Linked DNA regions of Drosophila melanogaster. The protein of the gene in region 2 purifies or fractionates together with the protein of the main gene of each other region. This does not show direct contact. Each region holds a gene or a part of one and is shown on either strand. Other genes may lie near its edges.

Evidence for each region.
Region 1: the proteins of Atg8a (region 2) and YL-1 purify together in Drosophila melanogaster (affinity purification with western blotting, with the first as the bait; one study listed by BioGRID). This does not show direct contact.
Region 3: the proteins of Atg8a (region 2) and Keap1 purify together in Drosophila melanogaster (affinity purification with western blotting, with the first as the bait; one study listed by BioGRID). This does not show direct contact.
Region 4: the proteins of Atg8a (region 2) and Klp98A purify together in Drosophila melanogaster (affinity purification with western blotting, with the first as the bait; one study listed by BioGRID). This does not show direct contact.

What each region holds. Positions count from the first base shown.
Region 1 is NT_033779.5:10,967,321-10,973,648, reverse strand, and holds YL-1 (YL-1), read right to left. Parts: upstream 3,207-6,328; 5' UTR 3,096-3,206; coding exon 2,962-3,095; intron 2,902-2,961; coding exon 2,769-2,901; intron 2,693-2,768; coding exon 2,392-2,692; intron 2,333-2,391; coding exon 1,845-2,332; 3' UTR 1,556-1,844; downstream 1-1,555. Other genes in the region: abo (abnormal oocyte), read left to right, coding at 1-113; CG16743 (uncharacterized protein), read right to left, coding at 419-1,141; Tmem214 (transmembrane protein 214), read left to right, coding at 3,527-3,647, 3,721-4,016, 4,073-4,687, 4,753-4,957, 5,066-5,211. UniProt on the Drosophila melanogaster protein: Part of the Tip60 chromatin-remodeling complex which is involved in DNA repair. Upon induction of DNA double-strand breaks, this complex acetylates phosphorylated H2AV in nucleosomes and exchanges it with unmodified H2AV.
Region 2 is NC_004354.4:10,763,325-10,771,483, forward strand, and holds Atg8a (Autophagy-related 8a), read right to left. Parts: upstream 5,015-8,159; 5' UTR 4,747-5,014; coding exon 4,657-4,746; intron 3,983-4,656; exon of another isoform or gene 3,844-3,982; coding exon of another isoform or gene 3,829-3,843; intron 3,333-3,828; exon of another isoform or gene 3,054-3,332; coding exon of another isoform or gene 3,006-3,053; intron 2,479-3,005; coding exon 2,281-2,478; intron 2,212-2,280; coding exon 2,134-2,211; 3' UTR 1,554-2,133; downstream 1-1,553. Other genes in the region: BTBD9 (BTB (POZ) domain containing 9), read left to right, coding at 5,397-5,969, 6,024-6,662, 6,731-7,177, 7,239-7,748.
Region 3 is NT_033777.3:17,071,980-17,080,668, forward strand, and holds Keap1 (Keap1), read right to left. Parts: upstream 6,124-8,689; 5' UTR 5,927-6,123; coding exon 5,839-5,926; intron 4,915-5,838; coding exon 4,598-4,914; intron 4,524-4,597; coding exon 4,266-4,523; intron 4,207-4,265; coding exon 3,524-4,206; intron 3,408-3,523; coding exon 3,202-3,407; intron 3,138-3,201; coding exon 2,359-3,137; 3' UTR 1,963-2,358; downstream 1-1,962. Other genes in the region: Ns1 (nucleostemin 1), read right to left, coding at 1-538, 603-624; mRpS11 (mitochondrial ribosomal protein S11), read left to right, coding at 819-1,015, 1,074-1,204, 1,259-1,359, 1,523-1,588, 1,649-1,756.
Region 4 is NT_033777.3:27,555,387-27,562,439, forward strand, and holds the start of Klp98A (Kinesin-like protein at 98A), read right to left. Parts: upstream 3,760-7,053; 5' UTR 2,987-3,759; coding exon 2,940-2,986; intron 206-2,939; coding exon 1-205. Other genes in the region: CG5646 (uncharacterized protein), read right to left, coding at 4,255-4,651, 4,714-4,828, 4,888-5,128, 5,377-5,489, 5,789-5,834. UniProt on the Drosophila melanogaster protein: Plus end-directed motor protein involved in asymmetric cell division of sensory organ precursor (SOP) cells by playing a role in the asymmetric localization of Sara-expressing endosomes to the pIIa daughter cell but not to the pIIb cell.

The DNA.
Region 1 (6,328 bases), on a different chromosome or scaffold from region 2:
GCGCCTTTATTTGGCATCCCTTTGACCCACTAGTGCTCAGTATCCAGAAATGCATGAACAGCTACGTCTACCACGTGCACTTGTATAACCACAGCACAATAGTGGAAAAGTAGACTGCCTAATATGTACATACATGATTTTGTACATTTGTGTATAAAACATATTCAAGTACCTTTTATATTATGAAATATATGTGATACTAAAATATCTCGTTTTACCTTTTCAGTAATGTCTTTATTTACAATGGTAAGAGAACATTTCTTTCTTTTATTTAATCAAAGACTGTGAAAATTGTGAAAATTCCAAGTACTGTTTAAATCTTTAATTCGACTTTGCTACATTGTATTGAAGGCCGACTTGAAACTTGAGGCCCAATCCGACGTTTAAAGTTTCATGTAACATTGTATCTCGACTGCGACTACGTTGAAGATTGGTGGTGACCGTCCTCGTTGTATTCCTTGTTGACCTTAAGGGAATGATTAATAACGCTCGAGCCGCCTGGAGGATAGTTCGGGGCAGGCCCTGATCCCGGGCCGCTGGCAGGCTGCTGTGCCTGAGGCTGATTGGGGATCGCATTTGGGTTGTTAACTGGATTCTGTCCGGGAGCCCCCTGCGGTGGATAGCCGCCTGGATATCCGGACGGGTCGGGTGGATACATTGATGGTGGCGGAGCTTGTTGCGGGTGTGGCGGTGGTGGTGGTGGTGGGGGCATGTACAGATTGTAGGGATATGAAGGATAGCCTCCCATTTGAGGATACGGAGGATACGGCATGTACGGATTGTAGAGATATGAAGGATAGCCTCCCATTTCTTGATACGGAGGATAGCCCGGATTAGGATATGCAGGATAATTGTACTTGTGCTCCGTCTTGGAGTGCTTGTGCTTCTTCTCTCCACTGCTGCTGCTGCTGCTGTCGCTGCTATCGCTGTCCGTCCTAACCACTTCGTACTGAAGTAGCAGTACCAGAAGGACTCCAATCGCCGCACAGCTCTTCATTTCTCCGTTTAAACGCACGACGTTCGTTTGATCTAAGCTCACGGGTATGACTAAATCTTGCTCACACAATACCTTGTCCCGTTCCCGTTCCGACAATTCAAATAGCCAGCGCGTGCGTTGATTTTGATAAGTCGACAAAAACATACAGATGCGACAAGGTTGCGGCAGGGCCCACTCAACTAATTCCCTGTAAGAGTTTAGGATTGAAAAACAATTTCATTCGGAAATGAACAATACTTCGCCCATAGATTATAAATAGAGAATACAATGGGTTAATAATTTATGTGATGTAATGTCTCATACTTATTAATTAGTTATTGTGTGTCGGAACAACCGCATTTCCTCCAGATTTTGTTATATATTGCAAAGAGAGGCTGTGTGCTTATCAATTTGACGCAAATTAAGCGAAACAATTCTTTTGAATAATCTTAATAGAAGACTGCGACGCTTTTATTATTTAGACAACTAAACTTTTAAATAGAGCGGCAATTAAAATTAGATACTAAAAGGTAATAAATGGGTTTTACATATACAAATTGGATTAGCAAGATAAACTTTCTTTTGTGTAAACTGTTTTATCAACTTCTTAAGTTAATAAACCGGATGCTGCTGATAAATAAAATCAAAACAGACTGTGCGTTGATTATAAATACTTTTTAAAGATAACGTTTTGGGAAATACCCTATGTACTACTTTTCCATTGTCGCCATTGTATGAAATATATTAGGTAATCGTTTGGTACTGCCTGAAATTGACGAGGGTTGTCCAAAGAGTAGTTTGTGATTTCTTATACCTTTTTATTCGAAAAATACGTATAGCTTAATGAACTATAAAATTGATAGCATTATTAGTTATCTCCGTTTTTGCTGGCAGCTGCCGAAGCCTTCAGACGATTCTCCTTGACCAGCTTGCGCCATTCCAGCCATTTGGCCAGTTCGGGTTGCTCGCTGCCGCCGCCTTGCTGTTCCAGCTGCATGTAGTAGGCTTCGCGCAGAATTTTGAAGGCCTGGATGCTGTAGTATGGCTGCTGTGTGATCGGGTCAAAGTAACGGGCTGGCAGCCTGGTGATTGGACAGATGCCATTGCTGGCTTTGGGAGGCGCCTTGTGGCGGAAGAGGCTTTGAAACACCTTGTCATTGAAATCGTTCTCGATTGTAACGAATGTGCGTTCGCACTTCCCAGCAAGATCCTTTGAATCGACCGCAGGGTTTGCTCCGCGAGTGGGCTTTCGCATCGCTGGCATGGTTAGTGAGTGGTAGCGTATCGTGGGTCCGGAGAACGTGCGCTTGGTGGGACGTGATTTCTTCTTCTCCAGCTCCATTTTCTGGAATTTCTCTGTGAATGCAACAGCAAATTGTAAAATAGCTGCTTCCTTGGTTGCTTTAGATACCCACCCAAAGATTTAGTGTTTTCTTCCTCGGTTATTTTGGCCTCCTCCAGCAGCTCCTCCTGCGTGGGCATGTAGTCCTCCACGCGCACCTTCTTCTTTTTGCGCTTGCGGGCATCGTCCAACTCTTTGAGGCGTATTTTGGTAGCCTGTGTCTTGATGGCCGTGGAAGTGCGTATGGATTTGCGGCCGGAATCGAGGACCGTGAAGCGTGGACGTGGCCGCCGTTTCGTTACCCCACCACCAGGTCGTTTCTTGTGCAGGGCCGGCGTTGCCTTTGTTTCCTTTTTGACTGCAGGCTTGGTTTCCTGCGGAAATCATATGTACCATTTAAACACATTCAGTAATCACAGGATTTTATCGCATTTTAAGAATGGTTCGCACCTTATAAGCCTTTGTGTTAACGACACCGCGTTTCCGCTTTTTCTCGGGCGCCTCTTCCTGATCCGAAACGGGCTCGTCGTTCTCATCGATACTGAAGTCGGAGTCAACCACATCTTCCTCTTCGTCTTTTTGCCTGCAGAGTGAATTTTATATGGCTTGAGCATTTAAATTTATTCAAATGATTAGTGCTCACTCGTATTCCTTATCCTCTTCGTCCTCCTGAAATCCACCATAGGACGTTTTGTAAAAGTCGTCCTCCTCTTCCTCATTGAGCAAATGAGCTATTTTGTTGCCGGCATTGTTGCGCCGTGATCGCGAGGCAGCCATTTTTGTTATTTATATATAGAAACTATGATTTAAAGCAGCTATTAAATAATAATATTTTACAATTTGTAAATGTAAACAAGCAGAGCAGTGTGACCAATGTAGCAAACATAGTATATATCGCAGAGGCTTTACAACTTTGGTATGCGTTTCAGCCCTGGTAAAGAAAATGGTTTCTCCTGCATTGGCAGTTATTCAAACACATTTAAAACATAGCTAAATTTATTTATTTATCTATTACATGTATCACAACAAAAAGCAGGCAGCTGCTTTAAAATCACATTAAAAAGCGGTCGGTAATTCAACTACCGAAAGTAGACCACATTACTTTACACTTGCGCTGGCCACACTCTTGGCTTGTTGCTTTTTATTCTGCCGGCTGCCTGCATTTTCTGATTTAATTTAATACCATCGATAAAAAGACTGCTCGCAACATGTCGGAACAATGGGAGGTGGTCTCCAAGTCGCGCAAGCAAAAGAATCTGGACAAGAAGGTGTCTGCACACAACGAGCAGAAGCGCATCGCGGCCCAGTTGCCCAAACTGGAGGAGCTGTGTAAGAATCTTTTAAAAGGTGCACCTTGCAATGCGATTACATGTTTGCCCCTGCCATTTTATTCACTTCGCAGTGCCAACTCAGCGGTATCGCAATTTGTTCGGCAGCAGCAACAACAACAACAGCAAGTCCCATTCCCCTGCGAAATCTAGTTCAAGTGCCTCATCTTCCTCAAAAGCCAATAAGTCGCCAGTTAAAAAGCACACCGCAAAGAATGCCTCTACCCAAAAAAGGACCACGTCGGCAGCCGCATCGAAGCCAAAGACTCTGGAGCTGGCCTTGAGAAACATCACCCGGGATGATTTTGCTGCCCAACTGGAGCAGGTGAAGCTCAGTTGTCCTGGCTCCGAGCTGCGCTGGTTAAGCCATGTATGTTTCTAAAGGAAATGTGCCTAAATATTTGCTCACCTATCGTTGTCCCCCAGATTGCGCTATACTTCAATGAAGCCTTGTCCTATGACTGCGATCCCATCTTCTCCGGCCGCTCGGCTCAGTATCCCAGCAATTTGGCCAGCGCCTCGCTCAAGTACTCAATTGTGGAGTTTCTGGGCAGTGTGGGCGAACAAAACCTGGAGTATTTCTTCTACTCCCTGCTGGATAGCATGTCAACGGATCTAAACAACAATCAGACAGTGGCAGGCTACAAGCTCATCCTACAGTTGATCGGTCAAAACTGGCCGAACATTTGTTCTAGGAACCTGGCCAAGACTGCGTTGCTAAGGAACTCCTATCAGAACCGTAGCAACATCTGCCTGAGCATCCTGTGGGCAATTGGACAAGGTGGCTATCAGTCCCTAAACGAGGGCGTTCGCGTGTGGCAGAACCTGATGCTGCCCAACCTGGAGCTAAAGCAGTACACCAAGTTTGTGGTCGAGTATATGGAGCGGGCTCTGAGTGCAGCAGCTGTCCGGAAGACAGCGGATCCTCTGCAGATCAACCAGCAGGAGTTCTTTGCCACTTACAATGCGCTCAATGCACCCTATAACCACCTGCCCAAGGAATGGCAGCAAAGTCTGAAGCGTAGTGCGCGTTTGTTGCTTGTAAGGACGAAAACAATTGATAGTTGTCCCATTGTTTCACTGACCTTTCTTCCTCCTGTGTGTAGCAACACTATATCAACAGTCCTGTGAGGCATGCCAACATATTCCTTACGCTCTTCCGGGAAATAAGCGCCGGATCCAAGCAGACTAATGAGATCGAAGGCTGTATTAGTTGTCTGCTCAGCAGCGGCAGAGATGATTGCCTCAGGGTGTGGCGCATGAACTACAAGAAGCAACAGTTGCCTAGTCTACTGCTTCTGAAAGCTATAAGTACGATCTACAGCTGTGAAAATTCATTTAATTGGATTTTTGTTTAAAAGTACCACCCACACTTAACGTTAATGTGTTATCTAATATTGAATTTCTATCTTTTCCTAGACGACAATTGGACCACGTCTACCCATGAGTTGGCTACGTCGACTGTGTATCACTCTTTTCTGCAAGATGTGGCGAATCTGAACGAAGAACTGCAGGGAAGCAAGAGAAACGAAGGTCACCTAGATGATTTAAAGGAGGTTTTGTTGGTGAGTGCGACTTAAGTATATCACTCGATTCCAAGCATAAGGCTCTGATCCCAGATCGATAAAAGGTGAATGTTGAATGTGTGTTGTTTTATCTTTTATAGTTTTATTGGAAAACTAGTATATAGGTAATATATTTATTTTGTTAGCTTTTTTAACCCAAACTTATTATTCAAACTTAAATGAAATCAGAAACACTATAAATTTGAATTTTCTCACACCTCTGGTAACACTGTTTAAGTTAAGTGGTCTGGCTTAGTACATTACGTACTCTGGTCACATTGCTTTAGTGAAAAGAAAAACGAAGGTATAAACTTGTAGAACTGCCGTCTAAAAGTGAATAATTTATTGCAATCGGTGCTAAAAAGAATGATATGAGCTTATTACACTGCAGCTAACTAATGTAAAACTCTTCACGTAGAAGTGGCCGAACTGTTAGCCGTTAATGAAGTTAGAGTTCTTTAGGAGGACGCTGCCAACGCGACGTCGCTGCGGGAAAGAGATGGAAAGCGTTAGCCGGCGTTCGTCCGAAATTTCTCCGCTATTCAACTGGCTTTTGAAGCCTGGAGTGAGCATAAATTAATGGTCCGCACCTTAATTATCGCGTTGTCGCAATTATTGTTGCTGTTGCAGTAGTGCAAAGTGCGTTTCGTGCATATGTGTGCGTGTCAGTATTAACGGTTGTGTATTCCGCCGTTCTGCACTGGTATTGGTGGCAGCTATAGCTGCACTTTTCCCATAGCGTTGCCATGCGGGTTCCAGTTGCCGCTAAATTTCTCCGAGCAGAGCAGACGTTTTGCTTTCGAAAAGAGAGTGGGCATGGCCATCGGGGATCATAAATTGCCGCATTATCAGCCAACATTCTTATCAGTACACCCAATTTTCGGCTGATCTGAGGCTTATTTTTATTTTCCTATTGACTGATGTGTTCCAGCTGCGATTGGCCACTCGCCTCCTGCTCCCTCACCCACTCCCCTCTCACATCCCGCTTGTGCGCACTCTCCTCCTCTCTTCGCCTCTTCTCCGCACTCTCACTCTCATTATTGCACAGTGGTGCAGTTTCGCACTATCACCTGAAAATCTCGCAACGCCACGATTCCGAATTCTATGGTCCAAAAAG
Region 2 (8,159 bases):
AACAACAATTACGAGGGACGTAGCGTGAGATTATCATGCGATACTTGAGCACCAATAAAATGAATCCACATGCGCGTAAAAAAGAGAGACGGCGGTCAGAAAGAGAGGGAGGGAGGGATGTATGGTGGGAGGAAGGGGAGGCGGCACAAGAAGCAGGCGACTTCAGAATCAGAAGCGCAAAACAGAAGCGAAAAACAGGGCCACAAAGCGAACAACAAAAACAAGCTGAGTGGACAATAACACGACTGCTGTCGTTGCTGTTGTTGTTATTGTTTCACTTTCTGGCACTTTTGTTATTATAGCACTCATTTGTTCTTTCGATTTGGTCTAGTCAGCGTGTTTAGCCATAATTCAATAAGCGCTAAGTTCACTTCTCTTTCGCTTTTCTCACTTAAACATTTGAATTTTTGTGTGGCAATCGCTGCAGCTGTTTTTCATAAGCTGGAGTTCAAAAACCCAGGGGGTGGTGGGTTGCTTTTCCGTTGCAACCACCCTCTGACAGCAAGAACAACAAACCAGACGACAAAGCATAAAAATCAATCGCACCCACACAACAGTTATTTCGGGGTTCTCTTCTTTTTTGAACTCTCAATTTTCACTTTGTTACTAATTTCCGTCGTCACGAGTTACAACAGCAACACCACCACCAACAACAACAGAGACACAATCATATGCACAACAACAAAAACACGAATAGCACAGCAAAAACAAACAATTCGCAACAGCTAATAGATTTTCATCTGATGTTTCCTTTCTGCACCTTTCCGAGCTGTTCGGTAACGTGTCCGTTGTTTGTTTAATCCGGCTTTTCAGTGGCCGATCCGACAAGGTGGACTTTAGTTTACCTGCTTCTCTGACAGTTTGGCACGGTGTTTTTACAAAACCTTTTCGGTGAAAAACTGCGAGGCCAACGAACAGTGTTGCCAGATGGTGAAATTGGCTAAAAAATCCACGAAATTCAAACGTGCTCAGTCGTCCGCCAAATGCGTCAAAAATACTAACTACCAAAAATATATCGCAATTTAATCGTACTTATTGTGTGGAGCTGTCCCTTTTTAGCACATGCTCTCCTTATGGCTGACTTGAGATATTGCTTTGCAGCACTTGATGGTGTGACCAGCTGTGTTTTGATGACAGTGCTGCCCATAAAAACGTTTGTGGGCGGCAATTTTGAATGGCTAGCAAAGTGCCTTTGCTGCGATAAGATAAGCAAACAATAAACAAAGTGATTTCTTTTCAATTTAATTTGCACACTTAAACTTTTGCGTTGCGAATGGTATCATAAGTACTACCTTTTACGCCTTCAATTTAAAATAAATAAATGCTTTTGTTACTAATAGCAAAGAATAAAAAAAAACACCCACTCATTGCTAAAGCTCATTTCATTTTTAAAAGATAAGGACTCATTGTTCGGTGAACAAAAGAAAAAGCAGTATAAAATAACTTCTTCCTGTCACTTATCGCTGAATCATCTAAGCGTGATATACGTGATTGCAAACTGAAAACGAAGAACAATCCAAATAAACAAACACCCTTTGCATGTGTATTTTTGTGGTTTTTGTTTATTTAATAATAGATTAATTACCGTACACTTAACCGAGAGAGTCCTATTCGTAACCATACACACTAAATATGCACAGAATTTTGTTGCATCGTGAATAAAAAAAAAAATAGTGAATTCATTGAAATATTAGCAAAGTAACAAAGTAAAGTACAAAGCATTCGCACGGATCAATTACAGCAATGGAAATTAAATGGCCCAGAAAGGGTGTGAATAGATCTGTTTTTTGTGGGGAAAGTTGGTTGGTTGGTTGTTTCGTTAATGGGTAGGACACAAAGCAGAGTTTAATTGAAATACTAACGCGTTTGGAAAATGTATATATATAAAATAATGTTCACATAACAATTGTTTTTGTAGTTTTCGGTTTTTGTGGATTTTTTTTGTTGCCCTGCGTATCAGATCAATTTCAAGTTCTTTTCATGTGGCATTTCCTGCGGTTTTCCTCAATTCGTTTAGCTAACTCGCCGTCCATATTGTAAGCTTGCATGCTAAACACAAAATATATTTTATTTATATATAGATTTCTGTATAGGGGGGGGGCTTCATTCCGATGCATCCCGACCGGAGCAAAGTTAGTTAATTTTGGCCATGCCGTAAACATTCTCATCGGAGTAGGCAATGTACAGGAAATAGTCCTCCTCGTGATGTTCCTATAAAAATACATCGAACGTATGTGATTCGATTGCAAGGCTAATAATAATGGGCATTGTGGTAATTACCTGGTACAGGGAGCCCATGGTAGCCGATGTTGGTGGAATGACGTTGTTCACAAAGAAGAAGAGGGCATCCTCGGGACGCAGGTGGATGCGCTTGCGAATGAGGAAGTAGAACTGACCGACGGTCAGGTCGGAAGGCACCAGGTACTTCTTCTTGTCCAAATCACCGATGCGCGCCTTGGGAGCCTTCTCGACGATGACCTTTGGGTTTAAATAGAAGAAGAAATACAGGAGGTGAGTTGTTGTTGCGGGCTACTTGTGCATGTTAATGTGCGCACATTTCGCACCTGATTACGTGCCCAATAAGGCTCACATATTTGGCTACAAATGGCATTTGCATTGCTGGAAGCAAGTGTGCTCGAATACGTGCTACCTTGGAATATGATAATGCCGAAAACATAAACTATAGTCTTATGAATTCTGATGCTTGCTATCTAGTGTACAAAATACCTTAATATTAATTGAAAACTAATTTGTTTACGAACAACTATACCTGATTGTTATTGGCCTGACTCATATTATATTTAGACAGGAAAATGAGTAATTTCGTAATTTCAGTCAGTAATTTCGTAATGCATTTTGGAATTTCGTAAGTTGGAATGTGTAATTACACACACGTGTGTTTTTGTTCACATATTATTTTTAAGCCAAATTCAATGCATTTTTCAAGGGGTATATGTTTTGTAATATAATTAAGATTTCTAGCACCTGTTTACATTCAAGTTCACCTGTATCATCTGTTTTTTTTTGTTCATTATGCAAAAACACATACACATTTTACAGCATTTTAGCCAAATTGATCACCAAGACGACCAAGTTGGTCATTGAAGTGAGCTTTGTAACGAATCTACTGCATTTCCTTGGCTCTGGAATAATTGCTAGCTGGCCTAGACTAGACGATCCGTTCTAGCCAGGGGCTCATTAGTTAGCCTTAGCCAAATTATTGGCAAACTGGTTTGTCCAATTTTTTTTTTTTGGAACAGGAAGCGGGTGCCAACATAGTGAATACGAAATGGGCAAAAACTGCTTGTCGCGAATGCCACCCCTCTATACACTAGTGTTCTATCGAAATTCGTTATCGTCATTGGCCGAACTCAAGGCACAAGTATGAGATGTGCTAGTACGTATGTATGTACTAAGTATATTCTATAGAATTCGGATATATATGGATATGCTGGTGGTCCGAGCGACCAGCTGGCCTTGCCCCTCGCTCAGCTGTTATGTGATTTGTGATTTGGCACTGCTGCACTTGCCAAAAAAAAAAAACACTAAAATAACACTGGCAATAATATTTCGGGGGTGCATATATAGCGCACATATGTACATATTTGTACATATATACATATGCATATGCAGTCCGAATCAAAATCGAAAACAAGAACTGCACTTTTCGCTGCGATTGGGGCACCTTCAGCAGTTTGTCGTTTCGTTTCGTTTGGTTTTGTTTTGGTTTTTGTGAAAGGAGTTTTCGCTGATAACGTGGTGAAATGCATACATACATAGCAGAAAAACAACAAAGAAGAAGCAGAAGATGTTTTTGTTTTTTTCAACCTTTCTGTTTTCCATTTTTTTTATTATTTTTGTTTTGTGTTCAGCAGCGCATCTATGACTAATTCCAGTCGCACTTTGTGTATTTGCGAAAAACAAAACAAGCAGCGCTAGTATAAGTGTGTATTAGTGAGTATTAGTGACTTTTTTTATGCGCAGTACTCGCTCGTTTTGCCAACAAACAAACGAAATTAAAATCGAAAACAACTGGTTGGTGCACACACAGAAAAAAAACGGGGTGGTCAAAACTTTGCTTGTAACTAAATTATGATGACAGATAGATATATGCGATTTTCTTGCTGTGTAGCCAGAGGGTGGGATAGAGGAGAGGAAGAGGTGGCACAGATGAAATCTAGCACTGAAAACAACAACATCACAACAGCTGAGCAAGTGAAACGGCTGCTTTGTTCTCTCCCTTTTTTTGCTTTTGTTTTTTCCTGTCGACATCTGTGTGCCTGTGTGCGCGTGTATGCGTGCGTATGTGTGTATGCAGGGGGCAGAATTTTCGTTTGAATTTCTTTTGAGAGCTTGTCGCCTGTTCCCCCCACCAGTAATGCAAAATGCACTTTATGCAATACCCATCGCACAAATTTCCCCAGCCACCTGATGTGCCAGTGCAATAATATTGTAATAACAATCGAAATACCCAATATGCGCAGTATTGATTTTCTTCGGTGCAAACACAAAAAAAAAGAGCGAGAAAAAAAACGACGCAAAACAAACGCATACACAGAAGCTCGCACATACACACACACTCGCACGCATATATACACACACACACACGTCTCTTTATACCTATATGCATTTATATATATATTTTTGAGTACTTACGGGCACACGGTCTGGATATTTGCGACGGATCTTGTCGCCCTCGGCGCGACGCTTCTCGAAGGCGTGCTCCTCCTTGTATTGGAACTTCATGATTGCAATGAAGAGGTAATTGGCTAAGAAACGCAGCTTCTATCACTTCGTTTGCTTTTGGGACTGTGCCGAATATCGATGCGTTGCTGAGCTTGTGTTTTTCTCTTCTCTGTTTTCTCGTACAAACGGTACGAAATACTTGTGTAGAGTGACCGTGCGCAGCAGTTGACAGAGCGCTTCGGTCTAAAAATCGATGACTTGCTGGTTTTATCGATAAGCACTCGCACTGTGGTGACTGCACTCGCTAACTGCTGTGGCTAGACTGACCGTGTGTGACCAGTGAGCGCGCAGAGACACCAACCCGAAACGCGCTAATAGTGGTGGCATATTAGACAGACACCATTTGGTTCATGTATTCGCTAAATGTTATCGGATGCAACCATGTGGTTCATGTGCTCGCTAGCAGACGGCTGTCGATATGGTTGTTGTACGCGTTAAATGGTATACACACCTACGGTCACACTGCACATATAACAGTTTTTCGCCGCAATAGAAGAATCCCTATTGTGCCATCGATATTATCGATATCACTAACTGTCATCGATGGATTGACGCAGCAGGCGAGACGAAACGTTAATTGTCAACTGTTCCCTCTGGCTGCTTACACACATAAATACACATCGCACGGAAGAAAAACAAAAAAGAGAAGGATGAGCAGCCAGGGACACCATAAGATGTCCGGCGGCGGCAAGAAGGGCGCCATGGAGCAGGACTACACCGACGTGGTCGATCTGGGCGATCGCTTCTCAGCGGACATGGCGCGCCTCTGCATGAACGAACAGTACGCGGACGTGGAGTTCATCGTCGAGGAGGAGCGCATACCCGCCCACCGCGTCATACTCGCGGCACGCAGCGAATACTTCCGGGCGCTGCTGTACGGCGGCATGGCGGAGACCACACAGCGCCAAATACCGCTTGAGGTGCCGCTGGAAGCGTTCAAGGTGCTGCTGCGCTACATTTACTCGGGCACACTGCTGCTGTCCACATTGGACGAGGATTCCACCATCGATGTGCTGGGCATGGCCAATCAGTATGGTTTCCAGGATCTGGAGATGGCCATATCGAATTATTTACGCCAGTATCTGGCCTTGGACAATGTCTGCATGATTCTTGATGCGGCGCGTCTATACAATCTAGAGGAACTCACCGAGGTTTGCCTAATGTTCATGGATCGCAATGCCGGCGACCTGCTGCTGCACAACAGCTTCAATACGCTATCCAAGGTAAGTTCACAACCAATTGGTAAAGTTGGCACTAAGAGTATGTAATGCTTACAGGAATCGCTGGAGGAGGTACTACGGCGTGACTGCTTCTTCGCCCCCGAGGTGCAGATCTTTTTGGCCGTGTGGAAGTGGAGCCGCTTCAATAGCAACGTGGACTTCAAGTCCGTGGTTAGTTATGTCCGCCTGCCACTGATGAACCTCGAGCATCTGCTGCAGGTGGTGCGTCCCTCGGGCATCCTGGATCCCGACAAGATTCTCGACGCCATCGACGAGCGCAGCACTTCAAAGGCGCTGCCCTACAGGGCGGCGCTCTGGCCGGAGGAAAACGTGGCCGCGGAGACGTTTTTGTCGCGCTGCATCCAGGGAGAGTGTCGCGACGCGCTGCTGGATGGAGATGTGACCACCTATGACATGGAGAACGGGTATACGCGCCACTGCATTACGGACAGCAAAGATGCGGGCATTGTGGTCGAATTGGGCACGTTCTGCATGATCAATCACATTCGCATGCTGCTCTGGGACAGAGACAGCCGGGCGTACTCCTACTACGTTGAGGTGTCCGGCGACCAGCAGCATTGGGATCGCGTGGTCGACTACAGCGACTACCACTGCCGCTCCTGGCAATACTTATACTTCGAAGCACGACCCGTCAGATTCATTCGACTGGTGGGCACCCAGAACACTGTAAACCGGGTAAGTCAGCAGTGATCTCTTCAAACTTTCCCCATTCTTTAACTTTTTCCCTTTCCATTAATATATAGGTATTCCATGTTGTGGGTCTGGAAGCCATGCACACGGCCAAGGTGCCGCGTTTAGTTAACCATTTTGTGGCGCCCAAGACGAACGTGGCCACCGTAGAGATGAGCGCCATTGTGACGGACGGCGTGAGTCGCACCCGCAACGCGCTTATCAACGGCGATTATGTGCGCTACGACTGGGACTCGGGATATACTTGCCACCAATTGGGCAGCGGCGAGATCGTCGTCCGTTTGGGCCAACCCTACTATTTGGGCTCAATGAGGCTGTTGCTGTGGGACTGCGATGATCGCACCTACAGCTTCTACATCGAAATTTCGACGAACCGCAAGGAATGGCAAATGGTCGTGGACCGCCGCAACGACAGGACCCGCTCCTGGCAGAACTTTCACTTTACTCCGCGTCCAGTGGTCTATATCCGCATTGTGGGCACACGCAACACAGCGAATGAGGTACGTAGCAGTGCAGCGCCACAAAACATGTCCGATAAGCTAATGCTCTCCTTGCTCTTAGATCTTCCACTGCGTCCACCTCGAATGTCCGACCCAGGACAAAAACTACTTAAAGAAGATAGCCGACATGGAGAAGGAGCGCGAGAAGAGGGAGAAGGAGAAGAAGACGGCCAAGACTGACGATGACAATATTGCCTCTACCTCGGGATCCTCGTTGGCTTCAGGCCATGCTGAAAGTCCCTCCACTTCCTCCAGCAGCAGCCAAAGCGTTTTAAGGTCCATCCACTGGCCGCCACAGACAAGGGAAGTGGCCGTTGCCCCACTCACTCCGCCAGCACTCTCCCCGCCCGGCACGCCAGCACTTCCGGCTCCTCTGACCCCGGCAACCTCGTCGCCGCATAACAACCATGAACAAAATCAGCCAAGTAATATCAGTGCAGACGCAAGCCACCACACCAGTCCAAGTTCAAGGAGCAACCCCAGTCCCAGCCTAAGTAGGAGCAGAAGCCAGAGTGCGGAGTTGGAGCCAGTGCCGCCATTGGTTGAGCTTGACACCAGGGAGACGCTCTGAGCTGATCGCCGCTGCGGCCGATAATGTTTTGTACTTGAAATACTCCTGTGGTCTGTTAGCTGTTAGTCTCCGCGCTTAGTTATATTTTGCAGACCGTGCTGCTCTTGTTATCTAGTCCTTCCCAGTGCCCCAATGCTTGGTGGTTCCAAAACCTGTGCATTGCATATTGGTTTTGCGTTATTACCTTCGTTATATACTATATGTATATACATATATATATATATAGATATATGTTTTTATAATTTTATTGTGATCCAAAAATAATTCCTTATGTTTGCAAGGCAGCAGAGTTATTTATATAAGCAATATAACTGAATTCTATGCACACACACACCCACCCACACACACACCACACACACACACCACACACACACACACATGTTTAACGCGAACTCGAATGCGATTTCCGAG
Region 3 (8,689 bases), on a different chromosome or scaffold from region 2:
ACCAGGACCAGTCGCTTGTTGCCCGGAGCACCGCGAACGGCGCGCTCAACCTCATTGCAGCGGGTTCCCAGGGGGTCACGTGCATCAACCACCTCCAGGACAACGTCGGCATTTTCTATCACCTTGCGGAATTCCTTGAAGTACTGCTTCAATGACTGCTCTTTGGTCACGGCGTTCTTGTACTTCTTTTCGTCCTGATCCTGGGCATCGTTTTCGTGCATTATTCCGTGCACGGTGCTCCGCATGTCTGCATCCTCGACCATGGACTCCAGCGTCTTGAACTTGTTCTGTTCGCGTTCCGCCTTAAAGGCTTCGCGGCGAGCCAAACGTTCGGCCTCCTGACGTTGCTTGGCCTCCTCCACCTCCTTGAGGATGTCATCCTTGAAGGGACAGATGTTTGGGATCTGGATGAGCTTCTGTTTCTTGCTACCCTTCTTTGGATTCTTCTTGGCTGCGCGACGTTCCTTTTTGTTGTGGTCCCGCACCTTCTTTTCGATCTTGTGCTTCAAGCGACCGGTGAGCCTCTTGGATTTCTTGGCTGTGGATTTTGACAATAGATGTAGAGCTTCATTTAATGTATATACATATATACTATTACTTACTCTTCAACCTTTTTAAAGCCATTTTACACGAGGATAACCGGAATCAAAACCAACTTAAAACAAGAACACGTGAAAATAGTCTTCTTCTTGACTTTTTGTCAGTCACCACGAAGCGTGGCCACTTGTTGTGGCGTGCTAGCCAACACTGCCAGTGTTGCCAGACTGGCAGTGTGATGTAATTTGGTTTTTGTGAACCCTCTGCGAAGTAAATTAATAATGTCACTGAAAAGTGTATTTCTAAGTGCTCTTCGGAGTATTACTATGCCCGCTGTGCCGCTCCAGACTTCTAGGATACACACGAGCGCTTGCTGGCGGAAGGCGGAGGACCGCAAGGAAATGCTGGCATCTTTACCGGCCAAAGACGAAGGAACCGTGGGCGAAAAGACCGTGGACATCGACACACTTATCAACCGGTTGGAATTCAATTTTACATTTGTAAATAGTCTTGAATTCAATTAATTTTCCATTTAGCAAGGCTAAGTTTTTCCCGGATGCCAGCACCGCCAACACGTTATTCAATGGAATACCCTTCAACGAGCTGCCCATCTGCAACATTCGCGTTTCACCCAACAACACAATTATTTCCGTCACGGATCACAAAGGTGGGTCATCTGGAACGTTACTCTAACTGTGATCTAAAGTATCCCTCTTTCCAGGAGTCCTCCGGCTGATACGATCCTGTGGAATTGAGGGATTCAAAAACACTCGCAAGGGAACCAACATAGCAGCTCAAGCTACAGCGGTTACCATTAGTGGAGTAAGTCATTTCCACAAGAAACAGGTTTTACCAAAGTAGGATGGTCAAAAACTACATAGAACATCGAGATAATCTCCATTATAGTTGTATACCATATATGCATTTGAATAGTATAATATGGGCATAGAATCATTTAAAACAAAAAACTTAAATTGTATTTCAGAAAGCCATTGAATTGGGCTGGAAGACAGTGCGAGTAAAGGTTCGTGGTCTTGGCCCTGGAAGAATGGTATGTTCAATACTTTTTGTCTCTCATGTCACTTAAAAATAATTAAATGTTTTGATTCAGTCGGCCATCAAAGGACTGCAAATGGGTGGGCTGAACATCGTTTCCATTACCGACAACACACATGTTTCCTTCAATCCTCCAAGACCCCGAAAGCAGAGAAGTCTTTAATGTGCAACTTGTTAAGACAACTTGTTTAAAAGCAAAATACACAAATAGTCGTTTACAAACAAATACGAAAACAACAGTTTATCTTTCTAATGGAATAAATAGCACTGTCACGGTGAGTTTTATTAGGAAGATATTTGAATATGGCCTTTTTGTTGCCACGGCCAAAGGTTTGCACAAGATTAATAGCAAAAAGATTAAATAACTTTGTAAAATATGTTTGTTTTATTTTTCTTAAATTATTTGCTTTCTTTTCTTAAAACCTATTTTGGATGCGCATAATTCCTCTTCTTATCCTACGTTAAAAAAAGTACAATACGCAATCTATCAGTTTGGATACCTACAAAATACGTAAAATACGAACTTTCCTCCCACTAATCAACTATTAACCCTAATCAATCTTTTTAAAATGGGCTGACGAGCGCCAGTTATGTTATGGATGCCATAAAAACGGTTTGACTAATTATCACCTAGCGAACACACTAGTAAGTAATATTACAATGGAATGCTGCTTCTCAACATGGAATTCTAGGGGATACGATCAGGCTTTGTACAATGAATGATGTTTTTGGTTGAGGCTAAGCGTGAGGCTCGGATTCGTATTGTCATGTGGCTGCGCTCGTGAGTTTTCGCAGGCGACCTTCGATGTGATGGTGAAAAACTTTCGCTGCTGTGCTAAATAAACATTCTTTTTGTGCTTTTTTTAATTTATGCCGCATATCATTAGCATTTCTCTCATCATCTGTGAAAGACGCTGGTGGAGTTCTTCGAAATCTTTCCTGCATTCTGGACCAAGGACAGTTTGGATTGACTAGCTCCTCGGATCTAATGGCGGGAATTTGAAAACTATGGTGTTCTGCAGGAATATATGGTTTTATATCCATTTCCGAGTCACAATTGTTGCAGCCGCTCATTCCGTATGAAGTATGAAACTGCATATTGGACGCCGTCCCAGGATAATGTGGACTCCCACTGCCGTACGTGTTTTGTGGTGTATGAGCATTCCTTTCCCCGTTGTTACTTCCATCCGGGTGTGGGGCGTCACTATCTTCGTAGTCCATAAACGTGGTGGAACACGCCGGCTGATAAATAACCGCCGACGCATGACCCGATCTTCCCGATTTTAGTGGTGTTCCTGTTGTCCACGTATTTGTTCGTGGATCGTAGACCTCGACTATGGACAGAAAGTTGTTGCCATCGAATCCACCAATGGCGTACAGTTTTTCGTCCAGCGGAGTCAGCGAGAGAGCACTGCGTGCGATTTGAATTGGCGCAACCATGTCCCAGGTATCGTTTTCGGTATCATAACGCTCCACGGTGGCTAGTTGACGGGTGCCATCGAAGCCACCAACAACGTAGATGTACTGGTTAATTGCAGCAACACCTGATAGCAATTAAATCGGAACTTAGTTGGAAATTAGATAACAGGATGCGCCAGTCATTCTTACCCGCTCCACTGCGACCCGTTTGTAGTGGTGGCAAAAAACTCCACTCATTGTTCTCCGGATGGTAGCACTCCACGCTGGCCAAGCGCTCGTTTCCATCGAAACCTCCGATGGCATAAAGCAGACGGTTGACCACCACAACACCCACTCCCAAGCGCTTGGCATGCATCGGCTGTACAAGAGTCCAGCGATCCAAATCGGGGTCATAGCTGCAAGAGATTTAAATAAATAGGGTTTGCTAAACTATGTCGATAGAATAAACAACCAGAAAGGCTTTGTCAAATTAATTAAACTATTATCTATTGAAATGATGAACACTACTTACTATTCCACCGTGTTGTGGTACTCCATGCCGGCGGACCCGCCTACGGCGTACATCAGCTCGTCCATCACGGCCACGCCCACTCGATGGCGTGGCACGGACATGGGAGCGCACGGACGCCATGTTTCGGTGACTGCACTATAGCGATCCACCCAATCCGAGTCGTAGGAAGATCCAATGTTGTTATTTCTGCCTCCAACCGCATAGAACTTGCCCTTGAGAAAGGCGGCACCCAAACCAGATCTTGGAATGCGTAGATTTGCCAGTGTCGTCCACGTCATGTCGTCTACATTGTAGGCCTCCAGAATGTCCAGTGAGTGACGAAAAAAGCCACCGGCGACAAATATCATCCTTGTGGTGTTGGGGGTTCGTTCCTTGACTCCTGGACACTTGTGCAGCGTTAAGTCCTTAAAGATCTTGGCCAAATACTCCCGACAGGCGGGCACCTTTCGCAGAACATCGCAGTTTTTCATCTGCTCCTTGAGGAAGTTGGGCGTAAGGAACTGACAACGGACAGCGCCCAAAATGTGCTCCATTTTACAGTGTCGATTGTCCTCGTCGTATTTCACCCACTTTAGCACAGCGTTGTAAACCTCTCGCTCCTCCTGCACATTCAGTTCATCCCTTCGTATCAGGGCAATCAACTGATATGCCGAAAGCTGCAGGAATTCCTCCTCTTGGCACACCTTAGGGGAACTCAGTAGCTATAGTTTTGTGTACTCTTTTCATATCGTAAATAGGTTACCTGAGTGAAATTTCGCTCAATAAACACATTGGCCTTCTTTTGCAGCTCAACACAGCCGTGTTGCTCAGCAAAGTGGGCGATGCCAATGGCATTCGTGGGATCCAATTGGCGCTCCAGAAAGGCACAGCAGGCATCGATTACGTTTGGCACTTGGAACATGGTGGCCGCGGGCAGGAGTTGGCACACCGTTACCTCGGTCACACGTATTTGGCCGGTGTACATGAAGTAGAGGATGCGTGACATGGCCGTGGGACACACCTGTAACACCGAAACGGACGAACTGTTCATCCATTAAACCAACCAATTAAGGGCCGCGCTTGAGCTCAACTTACCCCTTGGAGCTGGACGCGCGACATCTCCGACTCCTTGAGTCCCCCCGTGAACATGGCCTTGAAGTAGGGCGATGCCGCCGACAGCACCACTTTGTGGGCGGGAAAGAGCTCCTTCTTCACCTCGAGTACCACGTCCGTGAGCATGCCGTGCGAACGCATCATGTACATCATCTTCAGGGCCTCCTTGGCGTAATTGGACATGCAGAAGGTCATGTCATCATCCGTAGCATCGTGATCATCTAGGGTCGAGTGCGCCGATCCGAATCGACCACCGCATGAGATGGAACAACTTTCCGAAGTGTTGCTCATCTCAGCCTCTGGAAAATCGAGGAATAGATCATATTGTAATTCCAGGACATATTTCAGAAAATATTCAATTAATTTTAATTATTTAACAATTAATTTAATAATAATTAATAATTATATTAAATAGTAATTAATTATTATTAATTATTATTAATCTTAAAACCAATACACGCCCTACAGTTGAGCCCTGTAACCCTTGTACCTCGTACCTCATCCATCGCAAATAGATCGACAATCAGCGCGGGCTATTTATTCTATTTTATTATCTAATCTGTTATGAATTTGCAAAAAAATTAAAAATGGCACTTTAAAGAAATCCTCCAAGTGTGAAATGACGTACTATATTATGGATATCCAAGATAACCGAAAGGTTAGATACGACCGACCTTTAATACGTTCTAGAAATTAAAGCGGTCATTTATTTTGTTTTTGAATGCGAATAAGTTGGTAAGTTTATGAGTTGGTAATTTGGTAAATTGGGCTTAAAGATTTATAAGCTCTCGATTAGAAAACTAAGATAAGATTAAGGTAAATTATCTGTTTATTTCAAGAACACTCTTTCGAATGGATACTACATTGCCAACCGGAATTTGCATTGTCAACACAAACCAGTTTCTTTCGCGATAATATTTCAAATGTCTCTAATTATTCAAACGTCCAAATCGAGCAATGCAACCTGGATAAGTGCCGTTTCACTCCATTAATTTTTATCATCTCACATTCAACTACAAGTGACTTCACTGTAGCACAATCTGGAATCGTTTTCGCCAATCATTGTGGGCTGTTTCAGAGAACTTGATTCGCAATGCGCACCGTCATGATCAGTGGTTTCTTTTTTTTTTACCAAAAGCACGCGTAGCGAAAATATCTGGCAAACTTGTTGCGAATTGAACTGTAGACCCAAGGTCAAATCCAGAACTTTAAAAAAAACCAACCTTCTGGGCGGCAGGGGTATCCCTTGTGGTTGGGCATGTCGGAGATGTGGGTCTCATATTGCATGGGCGAGTGCATTTGGGTTTGCATTTTGGCACTAATCTCGGATCGATAGGGATCCTTCACAGCTTCGTTAGTTCGGTAGAGATAGTTTCAATAATCAATAGTTTCGCAAACAAAGACTGAAAGTCCGTGTGAAAATGAAAGCGCGCGATCAGCTGCTTCTCCGCAAATCCGCTCCGGCGATCATGCGTGTGCCGTGGAGAGAGCCCGTCAACTGACTGCCGTGGTCTGCGTCTGCCCAGCCACAGAGCCCACCGAGACTTATCTCTCGCGGGGATGGTGGCGGAGTGGGGGGAGCGTTTCAAAGAGCGTTATCATGCTTACATATGTGTGTGTGTGCACACATGTGCCTGAGTTCTATGTGGCCCTTCCAGGTGAATACACTCCGTGTTGTGGCGATAAAAACTATATAATGCCATGAATGAAACGCACGGCCCGTGGGCGGTTTTTTGGACCGTAACGATGATGCTCACAAATCGTAACCGATGGCAAACATAATTGTTTACCATGTTTACCAGCAACAGGTTTTTGTATGGAGCCTCAGGCTACACAGCGTTTGCAAAAAAATTACGCGTGTCATGCAAGCAGTTAGGAATTTCGTTTTGTTCAAAAGATAGCTAAAATGTGTTCAAAGTCCGTGCCAAATGAACTATTGAATACAATCAAAACAAAAAGCTAAGCTAATTTCGTATGCGCATATCGTGGAATATGTTTAAAAGAGATTACGTCTCTCTATTTTTTATTGCATAGTATTTTAGTCATGATCGGAGTTCTGTCTTAAGGGAATTTCACAACATAAATGGCCATATACACAATATTGTACGGTATATCCGATTAATCATTGTTACCAAGCTCAATTGAAAAGGCAATAAATTTTGAAGTATCAAGTCATGTTCCCAAAACAATTTCAATTTATGAACGCCTTATACACATGACGATAGAAATATTAATATCACTGATACACACTTAAAAAAATTTTTCGCATTAAATGAAGTAACTACAATAATGAAATATTTTTTTTTTTCATTTAATAATATTAAGACACAAAACCCTTTCAAAGATTATCCTTTAATTTTATTATTTATTCTAGAGAAATGTTTACAAAACGTTTAAAATTTATCGTATGTTTTTCTTATCTGAATCACCAAATTAAAACCACTACATATGTACTACACAAATATTTTTGTTTAATCAGATAAGGGCAAAAGGGACTTCCCCCGCCAAAAATCCCATATAAGTATTATGGCGAATCAAACGTACTTTGGAAAATCCACGCCCTTTAATAACATTAGTTCATCAAAGTGCGGCTTTAAATTTCCGCATAAAGTGACGCTGAGTTGGTTGTTGGTAAATGAATGATAAAGGCAAAAACTGGACGAAATAGTGCCGAATCATGCTGAAGAGGCAAAACCTTACACACTGTCACAGTGGTACGTCGGTGTAGGTGAAAACAGCAGCGTAATCAGCACGGATGTTGGGGATGTGTGTTTGTGTGTTTGCAGGTACCGTTGAACTTTGCTTTCACATAAACAAATATTACTCACTTACATTGCTCTCCCTGGGGCGACAGCTGTCACCCTTGCACACACGTACGTACTGTACATACTATTTACATACATACACACACCCGCACTTCCAACGCCATGTGCCAAACAGCTGATAAAGGCCATTGAAACTGAACTCGAAAGAAGGCCACTTAAAACAAACCACTTTGTTGTAAGAGATTACCGCAATGCAGGACAAACATTTACACTTTATCACCAGGGATTTCAAGATCTCACAGATACTTCATATATTTATGTATATAACCACGTAAATCGGCTGGGAAAATACACCGTTAATTTCTCCCTTTGTTTCATTGAGGTTTTCACATGCAGATAAATGTACGATCGTAGACAAATAAAAGGTTTCCCAGCTGGAAACTAAACTATGCGAGGGTCATGCACTTTTTATGCCTTTTTTGCACTTTGTATGTTTTATTTACTGCTACTCACATCTGTATTTATTTATTTTGCCACTACACAACGATTTTTTCTACTCTTCTTCTTAAGGTAAACATGCAAGTGCTGGAAAACGCTCGACACTGAAAGCATGTAATGACAGGAGTTGCCAGATGTCCAACCAGCTGGTGGATATTTATAAAATAAATGGTATACATGATATTAAACCACATTTACAAACAATTTTAATTATTACAACTTTAAAGTTGGTTGTACTGTTTCACTATTCTGATAATTTTTTTTTTTTTTTTTTTACATATAGATGTAGAAATTCCAAGACGTGAACCATCGTGACTTATCGAAAGCAAAACGATGATCGGCAGCACGTGGTATTTCTCCGCGTGGTAGCTAAGGTCCCACTAGCGCGTTGGTTATAATTTGTTTGTATCGGCGTCGGTTGAATTGAAATCAGTTAATTTGTCGCAAAGTAATTTCTGTATAAGTATTAGCTGTGCTGCTAGAACTAGAACGCTACAAGGTGGGTGTGCTTATGTTTATATTGATTTACAAAAAGCTAAAATACTGCTGGTTTCGATGGGCACTGTCTGCGCATCCTTTTTGTTGCGGTAGGATAGTATAGCATACATACATAAATTTGTGCGCGTACAAAGGAATAATTCAAATGTTCAAAATGTGCGCAAAATATGAAGCAGCAGGCGTTAGAAACATCAGTTTTATTGCCCTGCAAAAGGGCTTTATTGCACCCCTCGCCCAAGAGCTCACATTTTTTTTCCTTTCTCCAAACAAATTATCGCCAATTGCGGCTGTCGCGCCGCCATTTTAAAAAACG
Region 4 (7,053 bases), on a different chromosome or scaffold from region 2:
GACATCATTGCCCAGATCGCTGTAAACCTGCTCCTGGGTGGCGAAGTGCGGATCCTCCGCATCGAATGACCAATAGGAGTAGTCGAAGGTGAAGTCGTGATGATTGTCCCGCCCGGCATCGCGAATGGACTGCAAACGTGGCTTCAGCAGACGCGTCTTCTTGTTCTCCATCTCCATGATGAGCTGCGCGTCCATGTCGATCTCGCTGCAATGGGAAGTAAAGATGACAGTTTTATTTACTTACTTTATTATTACATTACATAATGGATCTCTGGCTCTTAACTTGTGTTAAGTTAAAGCTACATATAATGGATAGGCATTTGCATACACCTCCGCACAGCCCGTCCCCTTCTGGTGCCTTTCGTGTTGGATTATAAATAGACCGAGCCGCTGGCTCATAAATATTCTTATTAACGATTTTTGCATGACCCCAAACAAATGGCGAAAATTCAGGGGGCGTTTCTTGGTTCACGCGAATGGAAATGGAAATGGACGGGAAATGGACTGGCCCATGCAATCCAATTGACATGTTAGCCCTGTGATCAGACGACTCGACGCTCCACAGCTAGCTGGATACAAATTATAAAAGAAAATCCGGTTTGTAGCGAATACAGAAATGAAGAAGAAACAACCGACGACTTGATTGCAACATCAAAAGGAAAAGCGGCGCAAATAAAAAAAAGAGAGAGAGAGATGAAAAACTCGCGTCTGGGCATAGATAGAACATTCGTTTAAAGATGGAACCGAACCGGTTGACTGGAGTTCATAGGGGCACCCACACATCGAAATAGACTTCAGCTGAAAAAGTAACACATGCAAAGGCGCCTCTAAGCAAACAAAAGATGCACGATAGCAGGCATCGAAAAAGTGGAAAAACGTGGATTTAGCATCTTCATAGATCCAAATAGACGTCTATCATAACTTTAAGGCCAAGATGGACAGAAGAAGATCACATCATTCATTTACAGTCTGTATTCGGCACTATGGGAAGATCGTGAGATTTGGGGGAACAATTAGTTATTAGCGTAGATTATTGTAATTTTGTGTATTCATTTATTTCCCCAATTGTTCTCTGTACCTTTGAGAGTTGGGTTGTTCCCATGATTGTACTGTTTAACTTTTACTCAAATGTTCTGTCTTCTTTGCAGTGAAAAGGGTGTTTGTTCTGCGACTGTAAAGCTCTAGGAATCCCATGGCAGCCGTAGTGCCTTGTCCCATTTCGAGCGACAATTTTGGGTCATTCCCCCCATCTTCAACATGGGCTGCCACGATTACGCCGCTCCACTCAAGTCGACGCAGTACTCATTGCGTTTGAGTGGCTTTAATTCGTTAATCTTTGGCCCAATGCGAGTGCATCATCCAGCTGGAGATTACGGGAAGCGAGAAAACTCCGGCAAACAGCGGGAAATTCTTTGCGGCATCTGATTCATTTCCCAATTAAACATTTATGCGGGACACCAGCAAATTTCGCTGCTGTGACTCATGAGCGATGGGATGTGGAACTTGCTCGGCCAGTTTCGTGCCAAAATCAAAAATGTTTATTTGGTTTGCTTTTTTTCGGGTGCAGTGCCTATAAAGCACACTTACATATATACGTAATTATAGTAGATATCTGCTTTTGTTTTCGCATGGAGGCTACTGTGAGCAGTCAGTCTTGCATGTCCACTGAGGAGCCGTGGAAATATGTGCTAAAAATGTCCGTCCGGAGGCCAAAGAAACTATGCAAAAATATTTACAGTGAATGCTGCCAAAAGGAGAACGGGTTTCTCTTAAAAAATTTAAAGAGGTTTGTACATATGTACACTGCTAATTAGGATTATTATTCAAAGTGATCATCGACTACTAATCCAACTTGTATCCGTTTGCCTTATCGAGTGCTCCCTGTCATAGTGAGTAGCTGCTTTGCATAAGTTTGAGCCAAAACGATGATGTCACAACGCGGCAGGGAGTTAGCTCCACTTTTTGCCATTATAATTACAGCATTTGCCGCTGATAATGTTGTTTTATTTCATGCACAATTAACACACGGCAGCCGTAAACTCACAGCGCACAAAGCTCGTTTTGTTTGGGTTAATGTGATTTTTATATCGAACGCCAGAGATGAATGACATCATTACGGAATGTATCTTTCTTAGCACACATATGTACATATCTTTCTTTGTGAGGCACTTCTGCCAACTTCTCGGTGCGTTCGTCTTTCTTTCGAACGCTTTTCTCGATTCGGTTTTATTCGCAAGTAACTGTGCCAAAAGCAATGACCGCTGCGCCAGATAGCCAAGATAAAGACACAAAAAAAATAAATAAAAATAAAAAACAAGCAGCAACATAAATGCTTAACGATCATAGACAAGGCTGGTAAAAATAAAAAGGTTTAATGTGGTTTTAAGTAGGCAGTCTAGTACACTTTTTACATGTATTTCAAGGGGTTTTTTGTAACGAAATTTGTTTTCTAGACACTTTTGTGCTTTTTAAGTGAAATGCGCAACCAAATTCCATACTTTTTTTCAAGGGGCGTTTTAAAGTTAATACGCGATAGAAAGCCCAACAAACAAACATTCTCCTATAATGATAATGATAAGTGAGGTCATAATAATAAGGCAAATCTATATCTTTTTTGTTTAAAGTCATCGTCACCCCATTGCTTAGTCATATTTTTCAAAATCTAAATTAAAGCTGCTTTTTGAGTAATAAAAGAGATTGTTAGAACATATTCCACAACCAACTTAATATTTCAGTTTTTGATTAAGATTGGGAATTGTAGTTTTTTTTTAAAGATAATATTCATATTCATAGAAACATAATCTTGAATATTTAGCTGTGCTTTTTGTTGATCTAAGCTAAGTTTGACTACCCTATTTCTGTGTAGATTCTATTTGCAGTGTTGCTATTTCCTTGACCATGGCTGTGTCTATAAATAGGCGTAGGATATCTGGGCTTACCGGGAGTTGAAGGGTCGAACCCTTACGGCGACCTTGAGTGACGACATTTCGATGGTGGCGATGGGGGTGGCTACGCGGGATTCTTGTACTCCTTTATTTGTTTATTTGGGTGGTGGGTGGTGCGGATTTGGGGGGCGTTTTCAGCACGTACAGTAAACCAAAAGCAAAGAGATGGGTACCAAACAAAAAAAATAGGAAAAAACTTGCAGCAGCAGGTTTTGTTCTTGTTGTTGTTGTTGTTGTTCTCGCCTGACCACTTGCCACGTAATTTGATTTTTTTGGGATGGATTGTCAATGGGGGGAGGGGTGGTAAAAGAAATGGGGGTGGGGGGCAGCAGTGGAAACACAATTCACTCTGTTGCGTTTTTGTCCGACTTTTGGTCTTTCTGCTTTCCGTTTGCTCTGCTTTTCAGTTTGTTTTTCTCTTCGTCTTCTTGTACACCGTTATTTCGATTGCGAGCCTCCCGTTCGCAAAATCAGCGAACTTTGCGAACTTTTCGCGGCTCCACAAACAACTGCACATACTACCACTAATAAAATTAAGATTAAATTGTGCGCAATTCGACATTAATTCACTTGCACAATTTTTCCTGCCATTTTTTTCGGCGGCTGCTCATTGCAACTCGCTGCGTTTTTGCGCTGACCATATGTGTCTGCCCATATATTCACTGGACATGGGTCATTAAGTGCAGCACGATGAAAATAAGAAAAATAGCACGCTGTATGTACACTTTGTTACTTCGATTTGCGTTTATCTCTGTTTTTTAACGAACGCGACGCGATGTTGTGTTGTTGTTCATCGTTCGACTCGGTGTGACCGTTCGCAGAACAGTGCTAATAAACTGCGGAGTTACACACTCGCCTTCTGGCAGTGCGGTCACACCAATTCGATGTTTTCAACATTCATAGAAATGGTTGATAACACGGATAGCGCATACTCAAACCGATTTGAATGTTTTCTAAATTCAAAAACTTGTTCCTATTGTTCAAACCAAAGATTTTTAAAAAAATTAGATCTAACTTTAGAGGCAGATCTCAAATACTCAGCAATATAACCTTGTTCATGGACGCAATTTGTCATCATTTTAATTTTAAAGCTTACAAAATTGAGGTGCATTTCGAAAATATTAAGCCCGTGTTGATACGATAAAACGTTTACAAAGTGAGGCAATTAAAGCTATTTGTTAGTGCTGTTAAACAGCATTGAAGTAAATTATAGAATAGGTTTGCATTTTTCGATCACACTCATTCTCAGTTGACAACAATGTACACAGCATACAAACTAAGGCTCCTAATCTCCACCAGACTGCCTGGGTCATACGTAGGTGCCGTTCCACCGCTGACACCACTCCAGCGCATACTCGTAGCCCAGGAAAGTGGCGGCATTGAAGGGAACCGCCCGCGCCACCAGCATCCAGCTGCCGCGGAAGATGCTCCTCCAGCCGTAGGCTCTGTACTGCACCCGCACGCAATGGAAGATGCCCCGGTACTTGTGATTCTCATCCGCCTGCATCAGCGTCTTGACCACGTCGAACGGAATGACACACACCCACGAGATGACTCCCGCCCAGGCGCCGGCCAGCGTGGTCACCAGCAGGTTCACACTGGATCCGTCCGACTGACTGCGTCGCCGGCGCACAAAGTCCCGCCTGTCCATGTAGTCAACGCCCTGGCGATAGGCCAGCATATAGATTCCATAGGGCAGGACGTCGCTGTAACCAAACGACCATTGAAAGATTCATGTATTTTTGGACTACCACCTGGACTAACTTACCGGCACATCATGGGCAAAAGGCCGCGATAGAGCCCCGAGATGCCATCAGTCTTGAGTATCCTTTTGAACGTGCCAAAGGCGGTCCTTCTCTGGCCATACAGATAGTCACTGTAATCTACGGAATTTCACAAATTAATCCTCCATTTTGGGATTAAAAAATCAAGTAGAACCCACAAGTGGCTGTCTGCAGGCGAACCTTGATCAGCTCCATGGGACAGGCGATGAAGGACTGCACGAATCCCGCCACAGAGCCCGCCAGGAACATGTTGTGGTACTCCAGCTGCTCCCGCTGGTAGTCACTGTGGCACACCTTTCTCAGCTGCCGCAGATGGTTTCCATAGATGCCGAAAAGCAGCGAGTTGATCGCTCCCGTCGAGATGAACGGGAAGAACATGCCCCTGTAGAAGCCGTTGACCTTTGAGGCGATGCTGATCGATTAAACCCATCACGACCCACCTAGGCGCTCTAAGGGATTGCGTCCAGTCGGAGTCGGGATTAAGAATAGGACAAAGCCATTTTGGCTGGTTTAAATATTTGAAAAGTTATGAATAAAAAAGGAGATTGGAAGATCGACATGTACATCGTTATCCAAATATTTCACATAAAATTTGTATCCTTGAAAAAAAGTTTCCAACTAGACGCAATCCTTCTTTCCAAACTTACCCCATTATTTCTGCTGTAGATCTGTTGAATGGCTGTCACAACGGATGAATTTGAGGCCTGTTGCCAAACTTTGATCGTGTCGAGTGGGTGGGCCACCAGCACCCCGCAGGCACCTGAATATCAGAGTATAAAAATCAAGAATGCAGCATAAATTAATTAAAATTGTGGCCACAAAGTTAAACAACACATGTTGAACGGCCGCCGCCGCCGACAGCCGCTTGCCAAGAATCCGATGGATCAGGGGCGCCGCACGTGAACTTGACCATGGCGCCCGTTTTCCGCCGGGACTGAGGCAGTTCCCCTCAACAAGTGGCCTATCGCCACACGGCTGCTGCATTGCGTCATGCATGGCCCAGAGTTCTGACCAAATTGGGATGAATACCAGCTGGAGCTCTGCCGCTCCGTCACTCACCACCAAAGCATCCGGCCACAAAGTCGCAGTAGTTCTCCCACTTCATGGATGCGGATTTTCAGCGAACGCTTGGAGTTTTCGGAAAATTGATTTTTCTCGCGATTTTCCAACTGCACCTCACGACGGCAGCGAACCAACTGCAGTGCACAGCTTTTGTGGCTCGGCAGCAAAGCTCTGCGATTTCGCCAGCTTTCCCAGCGAACAGAAGCTGATTGCTAAAAAATAGGCAAACCGAATGCTCACTTTTCAAAAAAAGATACTTTCTAACGAAAAAGTAACTCTGCTAAGCATAATGATATCTTGTGGGTATACAGCTCAAAACTATTCAGTTCTAAACTTAAAATTTTCAAACCAAACTTTCTAGAATTTTTCCTACGCATAGGAAAAAGAAGTGTAGAAAGTTTCTTAGCTTTTCACTTCAAGTTCAAAGGAATATAAATCCTTTAATTTTAAAAATACTATTTTGAATCCTATCTAAAATCAAACACGTTGTGTTAATTATTTTGTATTTATTAATTTTTTATTGTTGATTGATCTCTTTGCTTCTTTTCTCTCCGTTTGCTCATCATTCTCATTCATTCAGTTTTTGTGTGTTTTTTTTTTGTTTCATCTTTTACTTGGTTTTTAATCATTTTTGGTTAATTCTGCTTGCAGCTAAATATTTGTTTTTGCCTGCGCCATGCAATTTTAATTATTTTTTTTTCTGCTGCTTCTCGCCATTAGTTAGTTAATTTACTTTATTTTCGCATACTTTCTGCCTGGATTCGAAAGCAATCAACTAAACCTCTTTTTTCCGATGCTTCTCCATATATAATTTTCCTTTTTTATATATATATGCTGTTTATATATACCTATATATATATATATTTATTCCCATTTATGTTTGTGTAATTATAATTTACTCTTTATATTTACTCTCAGCATAAGATTTTGTTTAGTCGTGTGTGTGTGTGTGAGTGAGTAAGTGTGTGTGCGATTGTGGGTGGTGTGGGTGCTGTGTGCCTTTAACCAAAGGAAAAAAGAATCGAAATCCTGGCACACCGGCCTACACAGAACTAGAACTCAAAGTTTAAAAAACGTAATAATATAGCGTGTGTACGATAGGTTTTTTTTTTTACAAGTCTAGAACATAAGAAAATACATGATTTACATATATATTTATCCGTTCGCATTTCATTGTTAGTATCCATAGTTTTTAAATTGTTTAAGCGCTTTAACTATTTAGCTCTTATTGTTGCTGCCTTGGCTAGCTGATCCGTTGTTCG